2 linked regions of the Astyanax mexicanus genome follow. The protein of the gene in region 1 interacts with the protein of each later gene in a pairwise test. Links are inferred from orthologs where the notes say so. Each region holds a gene or a part of one and is shown on either strand. Other genes may lie near its edges.

Evidence for each region.
Region 2: the proteins of fkbp8 (region 1) and zfyve27 interact in binary tests that used the Homo sapiens proteins (3 or more experiments, as listed by UniProt). The link is inferred for Astyanax mexicanus from reciprocal best matches to the Homo sapiens genes FKBP8 and ZFYVE27.

What each region holds. Positions count from the first base shown.
Region 1 is NC_064423.1:22,602,603-22,609,872, reverse strand, and holds the start of fkbp8 (peptidyl-prolyl cis-trans isomerase FKBP8), read left to right. Parts: upstream 1-4,250; 5' UTR 4,251-4,383; intron 4,384-6,524; 5' UTR 6,525-6,535; coding exon 6,536-6,806; intron 6,807-7,270. UniProt on the Homo sapiens protein: Constitutively inactive PPiase, which becomes active when bound to calmodulin and calcium. Seems to act as a chaperone for BCL2, targets it to the mitochondria and modulates its phosphorylation state.
Region 2 is NC_064428.1:35,476,321-35,484,017, forward strand, and holds the start of zfyve27 (protrudin), read left to right. Parts: upstream 1-4,692; 5' UTR 4,693-4,888; intron 4,889-5,971; 5' UTR 5,972-6,008; coding exon 6,009-6,217; intron 6,218-6,691; coding exon 6,692-6,762; intron 6,763-6,923; coding exon 6,924-7,110; intron 7,111-7,232; coding exon 7,233-7,328; intron 7,329-7,571; coding exon 7,572-7,684; intron 7,685-7,697. UniProt on the Homo sapiens protein: Key regulator of RAB11-dependent vesicular trafficking during neurite extension through polarized membrane transport. Promotes axonal elongation and contributes to the establishment of neuronal cell polarity.

The DNA.
Region 1 (7,270 bases):
TGCCTGGCTTTCTCACCGGCCCGGGGCACTGAGGGCGTGTTAGTGTATGAGTGTGTGTATTTGAGAGTGTGTGTGTGTGTGTGTGTGTGTGTGTGAGTGTGTATGCTTTTCTCTATGGGTGGGACTGTTCCAGAATAAAACTCACAGTGAGCTGCTGCTGCTCAGCGCCAAGGCTGGTGGTCTAAATTCAGTCATAGTTTGTTTCTTTATTCTCCTTTATTCTTTATTTCGATCGTCTCACGCGGTCGGCAGTCGAGGACAGAGGTGAGGCTGAGGTCAGTCGGCCCGTCTGACTGCTGTGTACATTCTGAAATGGAAAAAGCTAAACTGGTGATGATGCATCGGGGCAAAAACGGTCTCCTCATGATATATTTGTATATTATTGATTATATTATTGTTCTGATTTTCATAATTGATATTGTTATTGATGTAGTCATGATTTTACGGATATTTTCCTGTAAAGGGCACATTTGTATCTCAACGACATCGAAGACAGAATAAGCACACACTCAAGAATGCACAATGACACCTCTGTTTACATGATTTTAGGTATTTGTTTGTCTCTTTTTTTTTTTGGTTTTGTTTTCATGTCGATTCGTTTTGTTGGATGTCTCCTTGCATATATATACCTCTTCCTGTGTTCTTCATGGAACTGATGTCATCACTACCAGAGTACCATTGTAAAAGTGTACTATCTCAGTATTGGAGTCTGTATGAAATCGAAGGCTGTCTGCTTGTCACACGAATTACAATCACTGTCAGCACTGGACCTGAAACATTTGTAGAATATTATATCGCATCCTCCCAAATGTTCTGTAAAATTTTTTCCTCACTGTCATTTTTTCCGTCATGCCTGATCTGTGTGTTCATGTGTTGTCTTTATTGCGTTTCTACGTTTCTATCATGTAGCATGAAAAGCGTATTGCAGTCACTGTCAGAAGGCTTTTACTTCAGCGTAGCTTTAAAAAAAATTGCTCTAATCTTGCCTTTTCAAAGCATCCCAACTGTGTGATTGGTTCATTTAAAACCCCCTCACCTCTGTTCATTGTTGTAATATCCCTGACAGTTACATGTAAGCTTGTCATTAATGTTTCTTGTGATTTTGGAATCATGTATTGATTTTGAGATGATTTTAAATCCTACCCGAATGCCTGGAGGAGGAGCGGCCGGGCTTAATTATAATGGGGGGTAAAAACCCTCCTCAAGGCTGTAAGGCAGTTGCTCATTTTTTTGGTTGTTTTATTTTTTATTTTTAGTCCCATGCCTGTAAATACAACCTATTTCGCTTATTGGTCATTCAATCTCATTTGTATTTTCAATACACTACTTGTCTGTGAATCTTGTGTGGTTCCATCTTTTTCCTTTTTTCCTCAGAATCGAATCCCGGGAAGCCTCAGTTAGGACTTTTTTAAGCTTGCTCACTCATCATCGACTGTATGGAGATTAGCAACAACCTAGTCAAACGGCCATTCGTTCAAATTGAGTGTGCCCATATTATATCACTGTGCTTCAGATACTGTTCACTTTGCTCTTGTTGCTCTCTGGTTTAGTCATGTTTAATTGGATTGGACCTTCACTGAAATTGTTGTTTTCTTGCCCTGTGACCCTGTGGTATCAACAGCGTGTTTCTCTCCAATTGACAGCACCAGGCTCACCCTGTAATCAGATTACAAAGAGCAAATAGTCACTCCAAGTGCTCTCCAATCTGTCTGGTACACAGCCCCCATACCCCTCATCCCTCACCCTAATCCCCACATCCCATCCCCTGTCCCCAGCCTTTGTTAATCCCTGCACCTTTTGATTTTATTGTAAATACTGTAAAATGCATTTTGATATCATTGACATGTTTTGATATGTCAGTCATAACCAACGAGAACAGCTGAAAATAAGTTATAAAGAATTTGTTTTGTGTTTTTGTATTTTAAAGAGATGGTTTGGTGTAAAGTATCAGATTGAGGGGATCGCCCCTATTGCATAAGATAAGGAATACAAGAAAATATTTTTCTGAATTAATACCTCAAAAAGAATCAAATTTAAATCCACTGTAAACATTTGTATCTCTGGTGGGATTCACAAATACAGCAGTGTGTTTGTGAAGGAAAAACATTTTTGAGTCTGAAGACAGAGCTGTATATAGTTTTCAAGAGGACAGAGAGAGAGAGAGAGCTAACAGATTAACACATAATGGCACTTGCGGCAAGTGACTTTGATATATGCAGGCCTGTATTCACATAGATTGACCCCAATCGATTAGATTGCAATGTAGCCTTCCAAAGAACATCCTAATTGTGTTGTTTATGGTCCCTGTTAACTGCAATATTAAATATCAATCATCAAATTGATGCACCCTACCCATTTCACAAATGCAGGCCAATCTAACATCAAACCAAGGGACCAAAAGGGCACATAATTAACTTGAAGGTCTCTTAAAAACAAATATACACGTTGTCGAACACGAATTCGGATTTGCACAGCATAACATTTAGTGTTAAAACAACACTAAGTAGACTGATTCTCCCTAATCCTCTCTCAGTCCTTAATTGTACAATTGTTGGCCATCTCTGTACTTCTATTGTGATGTATAATACTGTAACATTTGGAGGGATTTGGAAAAGGCAGTGTGTGTGTGGGAGGGGTATATTTGGCGAGGGTGGGAAGAGAAGAGATTTTCCTGTACCTTTCATTGTCCTTTCTGGCGACACGACAGTATTCAATATGAAGCAGTCTGTCTCATTGGGTTTGCTTTGTATTTCATGGTAGGCTAGTTTGGATCTGTGTCTTAGGGACTTAGGTGTCTTGTGTAGGTAATAAAGATGTCCTTTGTATGTTACTTTATATTGTAAAGTTTCTTTAGACTGACAGAAAAAAAAGAAAATTTGCTTATCAAAAACAAATGGCTGCATCAATAATAAATGTAATTTGATATTTTCCTGTCTCCTTGTGGTGGTTAAATGAGGACTTTTATTTTGACATGTATCTGAAAAAAACGTTTGTGCTCGACTCAAATATAAACGTCTTTCTTTAAAAGGCGTATTATAATATTGGATTTTAGCTATTATTGATAAGTGAACATAATGTAAAAACATAAAGACTTTTTGTGGAGTGACCTGGTGCCATATGAAGCAGAAGTGGTGAGTTAAGAAAGTAAAAGTCCTCCACAGGATTTTGAGCGGACTGCTTGGACTACTTAGCTCACACCAGCAGAGGAGATTAATATCAAAGGATTATAAACACTTACATTACAATAATGACATTTATCTAGAGTGACATACAGATGTGTTTATTTGTCAACTCAGAAAGTCCAAATATACCTTGGCTTAAGCTTAGGTATGGCAAGTTACAAAATTAATTATTGAACACTTTACACTTTGTTTAAAATATTGAGCTATGCAAAAATATTAAATATAAAACATTGTGTCACTATTACATTTAACAATATGTTCTCATTTTAATACGATAAACAATTAAAAAGTTAATCAAAGATTTATTAAATTGAGGAAAAGTCTAAATATGTATTTACTTTTATTTTTCTAATATTAAGGGCTATGTTCCTAATTGAATATAGGTGAAAACTATCCGTTTCAAGGAAATATAAAATTAGTAATTTTACTACATATATACAGTATATACACATATATTAGTATTATCAATATTGGCTGTAATAAGTATCCTCTACTTTACACAAACATCAGTTCTATACACCTTTTTTGTTCTTTTCCTACAGAGCCTCTAAATGCAGAACGCCCAGACTGCACTTGAAGAAGCCATAGTTCTTTGTTTTAAGTGAATTGAGTACTGTTTTGTTTATGTCAGTGTTGATTAAATAATGATATGATATTGTTTAATGTTTTTTTTTATAATGTCTGATTTACATTTTAAATTAATTGCCCACCCCTGCTCTCTAATGCATCATTAGAAAAATAATATTGACAGTCCCCTAATCCGTTTTCTCATTTTAACAAATCATTCATTAATTTAGTTGAAGAAACAATTTATTAAATCGACTAAACCTTTCAGGACTCATACTAACATAATAATAATAATAATAATAATAATAATAATAATAATATATATATATATATATATATATATATATATATATATATATATATATATATATATATATATATATATATAACGAAGGAAAATACTTAAATACTTAAAAGTCTTAAAATATTTTTTACCTTGATGTTTACCTTGATCCGTAGAATCTCCGTATTTTCCTTCGTTTTGTAACGGGGACTTTTATTTTGAAGTGATTAGGACAGCCCCTGTTCTGGAAGAAGCTGTACTGATTGTTTTGCTGTCAAAGTTGCTGGTCGTGGCGGAGCTGTGGTTCCTCCTGGTTCATGGTTTAGTTTACAGGGATTTCTGTAGGCTGGGGTGAGTTCTTCACGCTCTCTGAACCTCTGTGTGGGTCAGTAGTTTAGGAGAGAGGCGCTGTAAGCGCTGAATGTAAATACAGGCGAGTCTCGGGTGAAGTTCGGGTCAGGGTAACTCGCTGCTGTAGCATCAGAGCTACTGCTACTGCTGCTCATAAACTTTACAGAAAGTTCCAGAAAGACTTTTCTCAGGGCTGCCAAAACACAGCGAGCACAGAACGGCGTTACTGAGCCGCGGTTCTGTTAGACTGTGACTGCGGGTAAACGGGGAGTTAACTTCTTAGCTTGCTGGCTAACTGGCGTTAATGCAACTAGGTGGTGGTGGTGGTGGAGGTGGAGGTGGGATTCCCCTGGTGCTGTTGGTTTAATGCAGCGGTTAAGCTAGCTAGCTTAGCTAACGTTCACGTTAGCCACCTGCACAGCGAGCTGTAGTGACTGAGTTATCTAACCTGGGCCGGTCAGTGAGAGAGACCCTGTGTTAGAGAAGCTGCTGGAACAGATGGTGCATCATCTACAAGCCTTTATTCTACTGTCCTCTGTGCCCTCTACAGCCTGGGTGAATGTCATTGACCATAACAATCCCCCTTGTGGTGATTAGGTAGCTGGATATGGTGGTTAGCTAGAGATAAATAACTAACGAATTTTCCAGTATAAATGTAATTTAACCAGCTGCTTGAATGGATGTGAGCTGTATAAACAACAGTTAGCTAGATAACCAAGCTAGCTAACCTAGTTAATTAAGTCTGTTAAAGCCAAATAATGGCAAAATAACTGCTAATATACACCTTTGGAATAAAATAAGAGACAATTTCAAATTATGTGGGTTTTTTTATTTCACCAAATTGAAAACCTCTGGAATATGAGCAAGAGGAAGATGGATGTTCACAAGCCATCAAACCAAACTGAACTGCTTAAATTTTTGCACCAGGAGTGGCGTAAAGTTATCAAATAGCAGTGTGTAAGACTGGTGGAGGAGAACATGCCAAGATGCATGAAAACTGTGATCAAAAAACAGGGTTATTCCAGATATTAATTTTAGAACTCTTAAACGCCATTTCTCATTTTCTGCAGATACATGCTCTAAATGACAATATTTTTATTTGTAATTGGGAAGAAATGTTTGTAGAATAAAACAACAATGTTAATTTTACTCAAACATATACCTATAAATAGCAAAATCAGAGAAACTGTTTCAGAAACTGCAGTGGTCTCTTATTTTTTTAAAGAGATGTAGTGCTAAGTGAGCTTACTGGATACTTGTGTGTTCAATGGTTATATTAACAGGATAAGCAGAAATGTGCTGCCCTTTCTTAGCTAAATAATAGCGTTGTCAGTAATGGTTCCTCATGCTGTGAGCTTTTTAAGGTCATTCACTTGCTTCCTTTGGACGTTGGCAAGCAGACCATTTAAAGCTGCTGTTAATCATTAGCTAGCTATCAAAGATTACAGAGAATGCACCAATCCTAATCTAAAGGATACCACTGCTGTCACACACAAACTGTCTTTCAGGCTTTAGCTTTTAATGACAATCAATGGAAAGAGCTTCTGTTACAAGTTTTGTTCCTTTTAATGGGCAGTTCATCATTAAATGTTAAACAGACTAATGGAATACAAAGAACAACTGCCAGATTCACTAAAAAGTAAAAAACACAATAACATGAAAATACAAGATTTTTGTGTGATGGTTGTATATACTCCAAAAATTAGAATATCATTTAAAAGTTACTTAATTTCAGCAGTTAACTAAAACTCGTACATTATATAGATGTATTACACACAGAGTGATTTGTTTTAAGCATTTATTTCTTTTATCGTTGATGATTTTGGCTTACAGCCAATGAAAACCCAAAAATCAATGTCTCAGGAAATTAGAATATTATAGACCAATTGGTACTGTTGGCAGTGTGCCAATTCCTGCTGGAAAATAAAATGAACTAAATATACATTGTTTTATTTTTGCAAATAATTTGTTAATTCAAATGATTTTTACTCTTATTCTTAAAAGTACCATTGGTTGCCTACAGGTAAAAACCACCTACTGTTATAGAGCGATTTCTTGTTCCATTAAAGAATCAAATACTAATCTGCAACACAAATTTGGTCTGAACCTTTCATCTTATTTATTTGTCATTACTGTTGTAGATCAGTAACAGATGGAAGACAAAAACAGCATACCTGTGAATGGCTCCGGTGACAACCAGGACTCTTCCAAGACGAAAAAGTCTGGGCGAACCTCTCTGTTAGACAGCGGAGAAGATTTTGAGATGTTGGAAGATGTTGATGATGGAGTAGATGATGACCTTCCACCATTAGAAGATGCAGGAGGAGGAAAGAAACAGAACAGCCAGGCAGAGACAGCTAAAACAGAAGCCGTTACAGACAACAGTCCTTCTCTTCCTCCGGAGGAATGGCTGGATGTGTTGGGTAAGAGAACTTGTTTTTGTTTTGAGGTCATGTATGAAATGGATAAAAGTACAAAAGTATACTTAATATGGAAAAGTACATACTTTTTAAAATTAAAATATGTACTTAAATACAAACTAAATGTACTATTTTGGAACTACTTATAGCAACTTAAGTGTATCTCAGTTGTAATTAAGTTATATTTAAACACAACATAAAAGCGCTAAATTGTACTTTTGTGAGATTTGGTAGATTTAATTATTTGCTTTTGTAATACACTTGAAGTATATTGTAAATGTACTGCTTGGTACTTTGTATTGATGCATATATTGTGTACACCTTAATTCTACTGGGAAAAATACACTAAGGTGCACTTTAAGCAGTATTTAATGCCACTATGTATTTTATTATAATTATTATAATTAAAAGCATATTGCCTAAAAATACATTTTATGAAAATACTGAGAAAGTATATTCAATGTGTA
Region 2 (7,697 bases), on another chromosome or scaffold:
AGCGAGATTCGCGCGACCAAAGCCTCTCTGCTTCACCGGTGACAACAGATCATGCGTGAAAAAAATAGTTTCGCTCGGTACACGTACAGTACGGCGCTGACCAATCAGAGAGCGCGGCTTCGCCCTAATCCCCGCCTTTTGCGCTAATTCGCCCAATCAGAGCGAAGCTGTCTGAAAAAAAGGGACGTGTCGTTTTTCATTGACGTCAATGCTGTTGTTCAGTGCAGTGTGTGAGAACGTCAATAGCGTGTTTTATCTCTGTGTGGAGACCTTAAAAACCAATTATGCGAGCAAATACTTTGAATAATTGCTTTAAAGAAGGGTAAAATAAATAAAAACGTCTGTAATTAGATGTTATTCTCGTGTATCGTCTTGAATTTCAACGTAATGACGTAAAAAAACAAAACAAATTAAAGCTATTTTAGGCATTTTTCTTAAAATAGCCTAAAAAGAGCACATTATTGTGGGTTTATCTCATTTAAAGTAAAAAAAACACCGTTATACATGATTGTACAGTAAATATATATGTATATATAAAGTCATGCAGCTTTATATTGTACATCCTTGTATAGGTTGTACAAAGTCATGTGCTATCAATCAGCACCGACAGATGTCGCTGTGGTATTTTCTCTCTTTATGTATGTATATGATATAGAATATCATTGAAAAGTTACTTTATTTTATTAAGTAATTCAGTTCAAAAGGTGAAACTCTTATATTATATAGATGTATTACAGTATTACACACAGAGAGATCTAAAATTCTAAAATTAGATTAATATATTAGGCCAGTAGGTGCTTTTGGCAGTGTGGGCAGTGTGACAAGTCCTGCTGGAAAATGAAATCCGCATCTACATAAAATTTGGCAGCTGGAAGCATGAAGTGCTGTAAGATTTTATGGGAAAACAAAACTGCACTGACTTTAGACTTGATAATAAAACACAGTGGATCAACACCAGCAGATGACATGTCTCTCCAAATCATCACTGATTGGTGGAAACTTCACACTAGACCTCAAGCAGCTTGAACTGTGTGTCTCTCCACTCTTCCTCCAGACTCTGCTATGGTATGGTATGGACTTCATTTTCCAGCAGGACTTGGCACACTGCCAAAAGTACCAACTGGCCTTATATAATATTCTAATCTTCTGAGACACTGATTTTGGGGTTTTCATTGGCTGTAAGAAAATAGTATGGAAGCCCATTTCCGCCACCTGAAGAAAAAAAAAACGTCCTCAACTAAGTCATAATTATGAGATAGAAAAGTCATAATTATGGGATAGTAAGTCATAATTATGAGATACTAAGTCATAATTATGAGATAGTAAGTCATACTTATGAGATAGTAAGTCATAATTATGAGATAAAAAAAGTCATAATTATGAGATAGTAAGTCATATTTATGAGATAAAAAGTCATCTCATAATTATGACTTTCTATCTCATAATTATGACTTTTTTATCTCATAATTATGACTTTTCTATCTCATAATTATGACTTAGTTGAGGACGCTTTTTATGGGCTTCCATAAAATAATCATCTACAGTAAAATAAAAATATGCTTAATATAGTTCACTCTGTGTGTAATACATCAATATAATATATGAGTTTAAAATTTTTTAATCCCTGTTTTTGTAAATGCTCGGCTACATTGAAAATGAGGGTTGCCCTCAATGTACCCCAGAGTCAAGATAAAGGTTGATTGACTGATTGATGGAAGAAGACAGCTGCAAGCAGTGAACGCTGCACAGACCACGCTCTTAGTGTAAACAGCATGGATCAAAAACAACGATTGTTTATAGCTGTGGTATTTAGTGTTATATGCCTAATATATCAGATTTAACTGCACCTTATTAGCAGTTTAGCTCAAATTAAACATACCCTATACTGAGTATATAAAATCTGTTTCACCACTTTGCTGTATTGTCAAGCATGATAGTCACATGCCAGTCACTGATGAATTCAATCAAATCCTTACGGCAATGCTGCACAATGTAGTAGAAAGCCTTTTTGGACAGTAAAAGAAAGAAAAACCCTTTTAAAACCCTTCATTAAGCTGGTGTCCCAATACTTTTGCCCATTTAACAAAGAAGCAATGCAGCAAATTCAACAGTGCACCTTCTGCAATGCACAATCACTCATAGAAATACATTAAAATCATATCATTACTAAATATTTGATTAACACCAATGATTGGGCTTGTTTTTGGGCCCATTTGCATATTGCATTTACATATGTCTCAATAAGACTGCATATAAATCATATAGTGTAATTAACCTATAGTATTTCAACTATATATAGCCTTCAACTATATTATTTTTTTGAATGATAAACACAGAAGAGCATGACCTAGTATGTCTTGCTAGTATGTCTGGTTTACCTGTTACTCCAATAAAAGCAAGATAAACTCTTTTTAAAACCCTTAATTAAGCTGGTGTCCCAATACTTTTGCCCATTAAACAAAGAAGCCATGCAGCAAATTCAACAGTGCATCTTCTGCAATGCACAAATAGCTATAGAAACACATTGAAATCATATCAAAACTAAATGGTGTGTAATACATCAATATAATATATGAGTTTAAAAATTTTTAATCCCTGTTTTTGTAAATGCTCGGCTACATTGAAAATGAGGGTTGCCCTCAATGTACCCCAGAGTCAAGATAAAGGTTGATTGACTGATTGATGGAAGAAGACAGTGTGTGTGGTGCTTTTCCTGGCGGGGGTGCTGAATTCTAGTCTACTGAAAGCCGGAAATGTTATAAATCTTCACTTCAGAAGCTTGGCTGTATTTGTCCCTCCATCTTTTCCAAACTAGACTAATATGTTGTTTATTTTCGTGGACTAAAACTAGACTAAAACTAATAATAACCAAAAGACTTAAAGTTGACTAAAACTATTATAAATTTTCAAAAGACTAAGAAGAAAACTAAATCAAAATCACCTGTCAAAATTAACACTGGTCCAACCCCACCCCTTAGCTTTGTGCTGTAGAATAATAGGGTAGTAGTAGAAGCGGTGGAGCTCCATCCAGCATCTAGTACCTTTGGAATGGGTAGAAGCAGAGTTGATGATCCAGAACTAATCATCCTTCATCAGTACCTGACCTCACTAATGCTCCAGCGCTGACCTGAACACATTAAATCCTCACAGCAGTGTTATTACAGCACATACAGCAGCTCTAAAGCCTTCCCAGAAAGTTAAAAGCTGTTTCTAAAGCTAAGATAGGACAAGCCTGATACCCCTGATATGATGAGAAATGCTGATGTCTTTAGGTGTTAGGATGTGCAGGGTACGCTGTAGTCCGGTGTGTAAGGCCGGGGGGAATTAAACAGGGTGATCTCATTATTCCCTGGAGGCTCAAGGTTAGCTAGCGGCGAGTTCAGACTGTTAACTCCTGTTATCTCCTTTCTGGAACAACAGGGAGCTTTAATTCAGATCAGCTTGCACGTCAGACGTTAGGTCATAGTCCAGCGTGTTTATGACAACATCAAGTTTATGATGGTTATAATCCCAACTAACATTTTAACAAGTTAACTAACAAGTTTGTAGAAAATGTTTTGTTTGTAGAACATTCTTACAACGATAGATTTGAATGTTTTATGTGTTTTTTGTGATAATTCTGTTCTTCTCTGGTGCATTTTGGCATCTAATTTTAATTTTATTGACATTGGAACACAAATCAACAGCTAACAACTACCTAGATACCTAGTTAACACATTAGTGCCCATTCCACCAGTAGAGAAATTACACATAAAAGCAGCTTACTCTTCCCTAATTGGCTGAATCTTATTTTTACAGTCTCAGTCTCACTTAAAATTGTTACGTTATTTTTAATAATTAAAAAAAGGAACTCAAAATGAGCACAAAAAAGCACAAACTCAAAATATTTTGTGCTTGATTCAAGTCTTACTTTACTTTAATTTGAGACTTTGCAATGGTTTTTATATAAAAATCTTACCAAGAAAAATGTGGCTTAACCCTTTGGCATTTTTTGGCCTAATATGTCTTAATTTACACTTTGTCTAGTTTTTGCCAATTAATTTTTTGCAGTACATTTGCATAGATTTGAGCTTTGCTTAAAAGTTTTCGTGAGACAGCATACGGCATGGTGGCTTAGTGGTTAGCATTTTTGCCTCCCAGCACTTTGTGTGTGTGTGTGTTTAAAGGTGTGTATAACTGTGCGCCCAGATATGGTTTGGCACTCTGTTTTGGGTTAATGCTGTAGTGCTGGATGCAGTTCTCCAGGTGGACGGTTGTTTCCGGTTAAGAGTACGCTGTCCGCAATTGGCTGCCTCTTCTCACCAGAGTGTGGGGATGAGGGCTGAGTATAAACAGTTGTGTGAAAAAACATATAAATTGTAAAATGTCCTTGGGTTTCTAAAAAAAAAAAAAGGCGTTGTATAGGTTTAACTTCAGATATGGGCAGTTTACTAAAATTTGACATAAGTTAGTAAGTTAGTTGAGGTTAAGAGGTGTGTTTATTGTTTGTGAGCTATTTTATTAGTTTATTATTGTGTTATGAAAAACATTTATGCAAAAATTGTGAAGATACATTGTGTATTTGTAAATGTTGAGATGTAATGTTTTTTGTACTCCTCTGAATAAGCAAATGTTGCACTGTTCATATCGACTGTATCGGTGTTCGACTGTAAGCCCTGATCGCGCTGTGATCCCGCGCTCGGTGATCTGCTGGCCGGCCTGTCTGTTACGGAAGAGGCTGGCAGCAGCAGCTGTGGTGTTTAGATTCGGTTTAATCTGAATTCGGTTTAAATTAACCGGATTAATTTAGTGTTTAAAGACGCAGAGCCGCGGTGCTGCAGTGTGGAGGAGGCGGGGAGAGTTAGGAGCTCAGAAAACCCGAGTTTAACCGATTTAACATCTGATTACGGTGAGAAATCAGTGAACAGGGCACTCCTACTGTTTACTTTCTTTAATTATTAATATTAATAATATTTTACACTTTATAAAGATATTTATATATATTACTGACTGTCTGGATCGTTATTTATAATTTTATTATTATAAGTGTTTAGTGTATGGTCAGAAATGCCTGATATGTTGATGTTATTTTTTTACTTGGCATTATTTATAGTTATAGATTATGTGATTAATGGATATTTAAGATGTCCTGACTTATCATCTGTCTTATTATTCTAAATAAGCATTTATAACTACTATAAATGTTTATTCTAAGGTGAGAAATGTGAGATAAGGTCTCTGTGTGCGTTTAATCTTTTAAATTATTAATATAATACACATTATAAAGTTATTTTTAGATATTTCTAATTCTCTTTGTCATTAATTAGGGTTTTATTATTATACCGGTTTATGTTAAGGTGGGAAATATGTGGTTATTTATAGTTATAGATTATGTGTTGTATGGATGTTTGAGATTTTCTGTTTTATTATGTATCACCTCTTATTAATAATGTTTAGTGTAAGGTAAAAAATATATGTCGATTCTGCTATTGTTTATTTATCTGCTATCTTTATTTATGATATAAAAAATATATATTCTTTGTAGTTAGTAATATATTTATAATTTAAGTGATGATCTGCATTAAATATCTAGATTGTTTTAAGAAGGTTTAGTGTGCAAAAAAATCATGGTACAAATATCTGATGTTTTATATATGATATTTTAAATTAAATTACTAAAAAGATACAGTGTGTGAAATGTGCGTACATTTTTATTTTATATTTATATAAAAAACCTTGTATCTCCAGGAGGAGAATACCTTCTCAAACTTTAATTAGAAGTCTATGTGAAAAGATTTTATTTCAGGTAATTTATATGTACATTATTAAAACATATTGACAAATTAAAGCAAGTTCTGTGGTGTTTCTCCTTATTAAACTAAATGTATGTAGTGCATTAAGAAAGGAATAGCTCTTAAAAAGATGCATGTACAAAAATACATATTTTAAATGATCATATTGGAATAAATTAGTAATTGTTTGTTTGTTGCAGTTCTGCAGGGGAAGCTGAGAGTGATCTGTAGCTGAGAATGCTGGACGTTGTCTCGGGCGGGGGGGATCGGGGGGACGCGTCTCAGTCTCCGGTTAAAGACGCCTCGTCTCTGGACTCCAGCTCTGAGTCAGGGAGCTCTAAAGCTCTGAACTTTGACCTTCTCAACATGGTGGTTTCCTACAAACGCATGGCCATTTTTCTGGAGCCGGTGACTGACGCGCTGGAGGTGCTGCGGTACCTGCTCGGGTCAGTGCAGAAAACAAATTCTCCGCTATACTGTCAGAAAATTAATATTTAACTGTGCAATTAGAATCTGAGCTTTTAGTGTACATAGAAATGGGAAGTATAATAGGAATTGGAATTATAACACTAAAAAAAAGTAATTTTTAACAGTAAAACTGAAATTGTATTTTTTTATAATAAAATATTAAGTTATTAAACAGAATGTTTGGGATATATAGTATAAATCCAAATGTAAAAAGTTTGGATTTGTGCATAACCTTTAAGCAATTTTATATAAAAAAAAACTATTATTCATATTAAGATAAAGAGGAAAATGTTAAGAGAATTGAGGAAATAAAATACATTTTAATAATAATTTATAAATAAATTTTTTAAACACTAAACATAAGAGCCACATATTCTTATTCTTATTAACTATAATAATATATAGATATAGATACAGTTTGTGATACTGAGCTTTTGTCTGTGTGTCTGTAGATGGAGATTACCACTGTGTTCTCTGCTCTGCTGCATCCTGCTGAACATCCTCTTCATCACCTTGAGTCAAGGTAAAACACACACACACACACACACACAGACACACACACACACGGGCAGAGAAATAGACACAGAAACACAAAAAAATGTCTTGAGTAATGTGTAGCAGTTGTATTTATAACGTATTATTATAGTATAATCTCTCTCTCTCTCTCTGTCTCTGTGTGTTCAGTGGCGTGGTTCTCTGTGCTACTGTTGGTGGTGTCTGTGCCGGCTGTGTTGGGGTACGTTGGTGAGCGCTGTCATGGCGATGCGAGTGAGACGGCGCTGCAGAAGAAGAAGCATTACGCCGTTCAGCGCCGAGAACTGCAGACCGTCAACATCAGCCGACAGGAGGCCATGCTGGAGGTCAAGAGCCTGTGAGTAGAACCTTTACCAGAACACGGATACACTGAGAACAACTGTGTGTGTTTAATTGTTTGATTTGTTTTGTGTGTGTGTTTAATTGTTTGATTTGTGTGTGTGTGTGTGTGTGTTGCAGGCTAAAGCAGCTGGACGATCTGTTGACTCAGGCGTGTGGGTATGCAGAATCTGTCTATAAGGTCTTATACTGGGAGAGTCATGCAACTTCTTCTGTGTAAGTAACACACACACACACACACACACACACACACACACACACACTTATTCTACTCTGGACAGTAGAGGCAGTTACTTCAACAAAAGCAGGATAAACTCTTTTTAATACCCATGATTTCATTAAAAACTATTTACAGCAAGCAGATGCCCCATTACTTATGTCCATATAGTGTATTTATTATTGTGTGGGTGTGTGTGTGTGTGTGTGTGTGTCTGTGTCTGTGTGTGTGTATATATACAGGTTTTACGGGTTTCTGCTGATGATGGTGTGTTTGCTGTACTCAGCTCCTGTGGGCTGGAGTCTGTCTCTGGTGAACAGCGCCCTCTTCCTGTGGAACCGTGACTTCTGCAGGGGTCAGTCCTGATT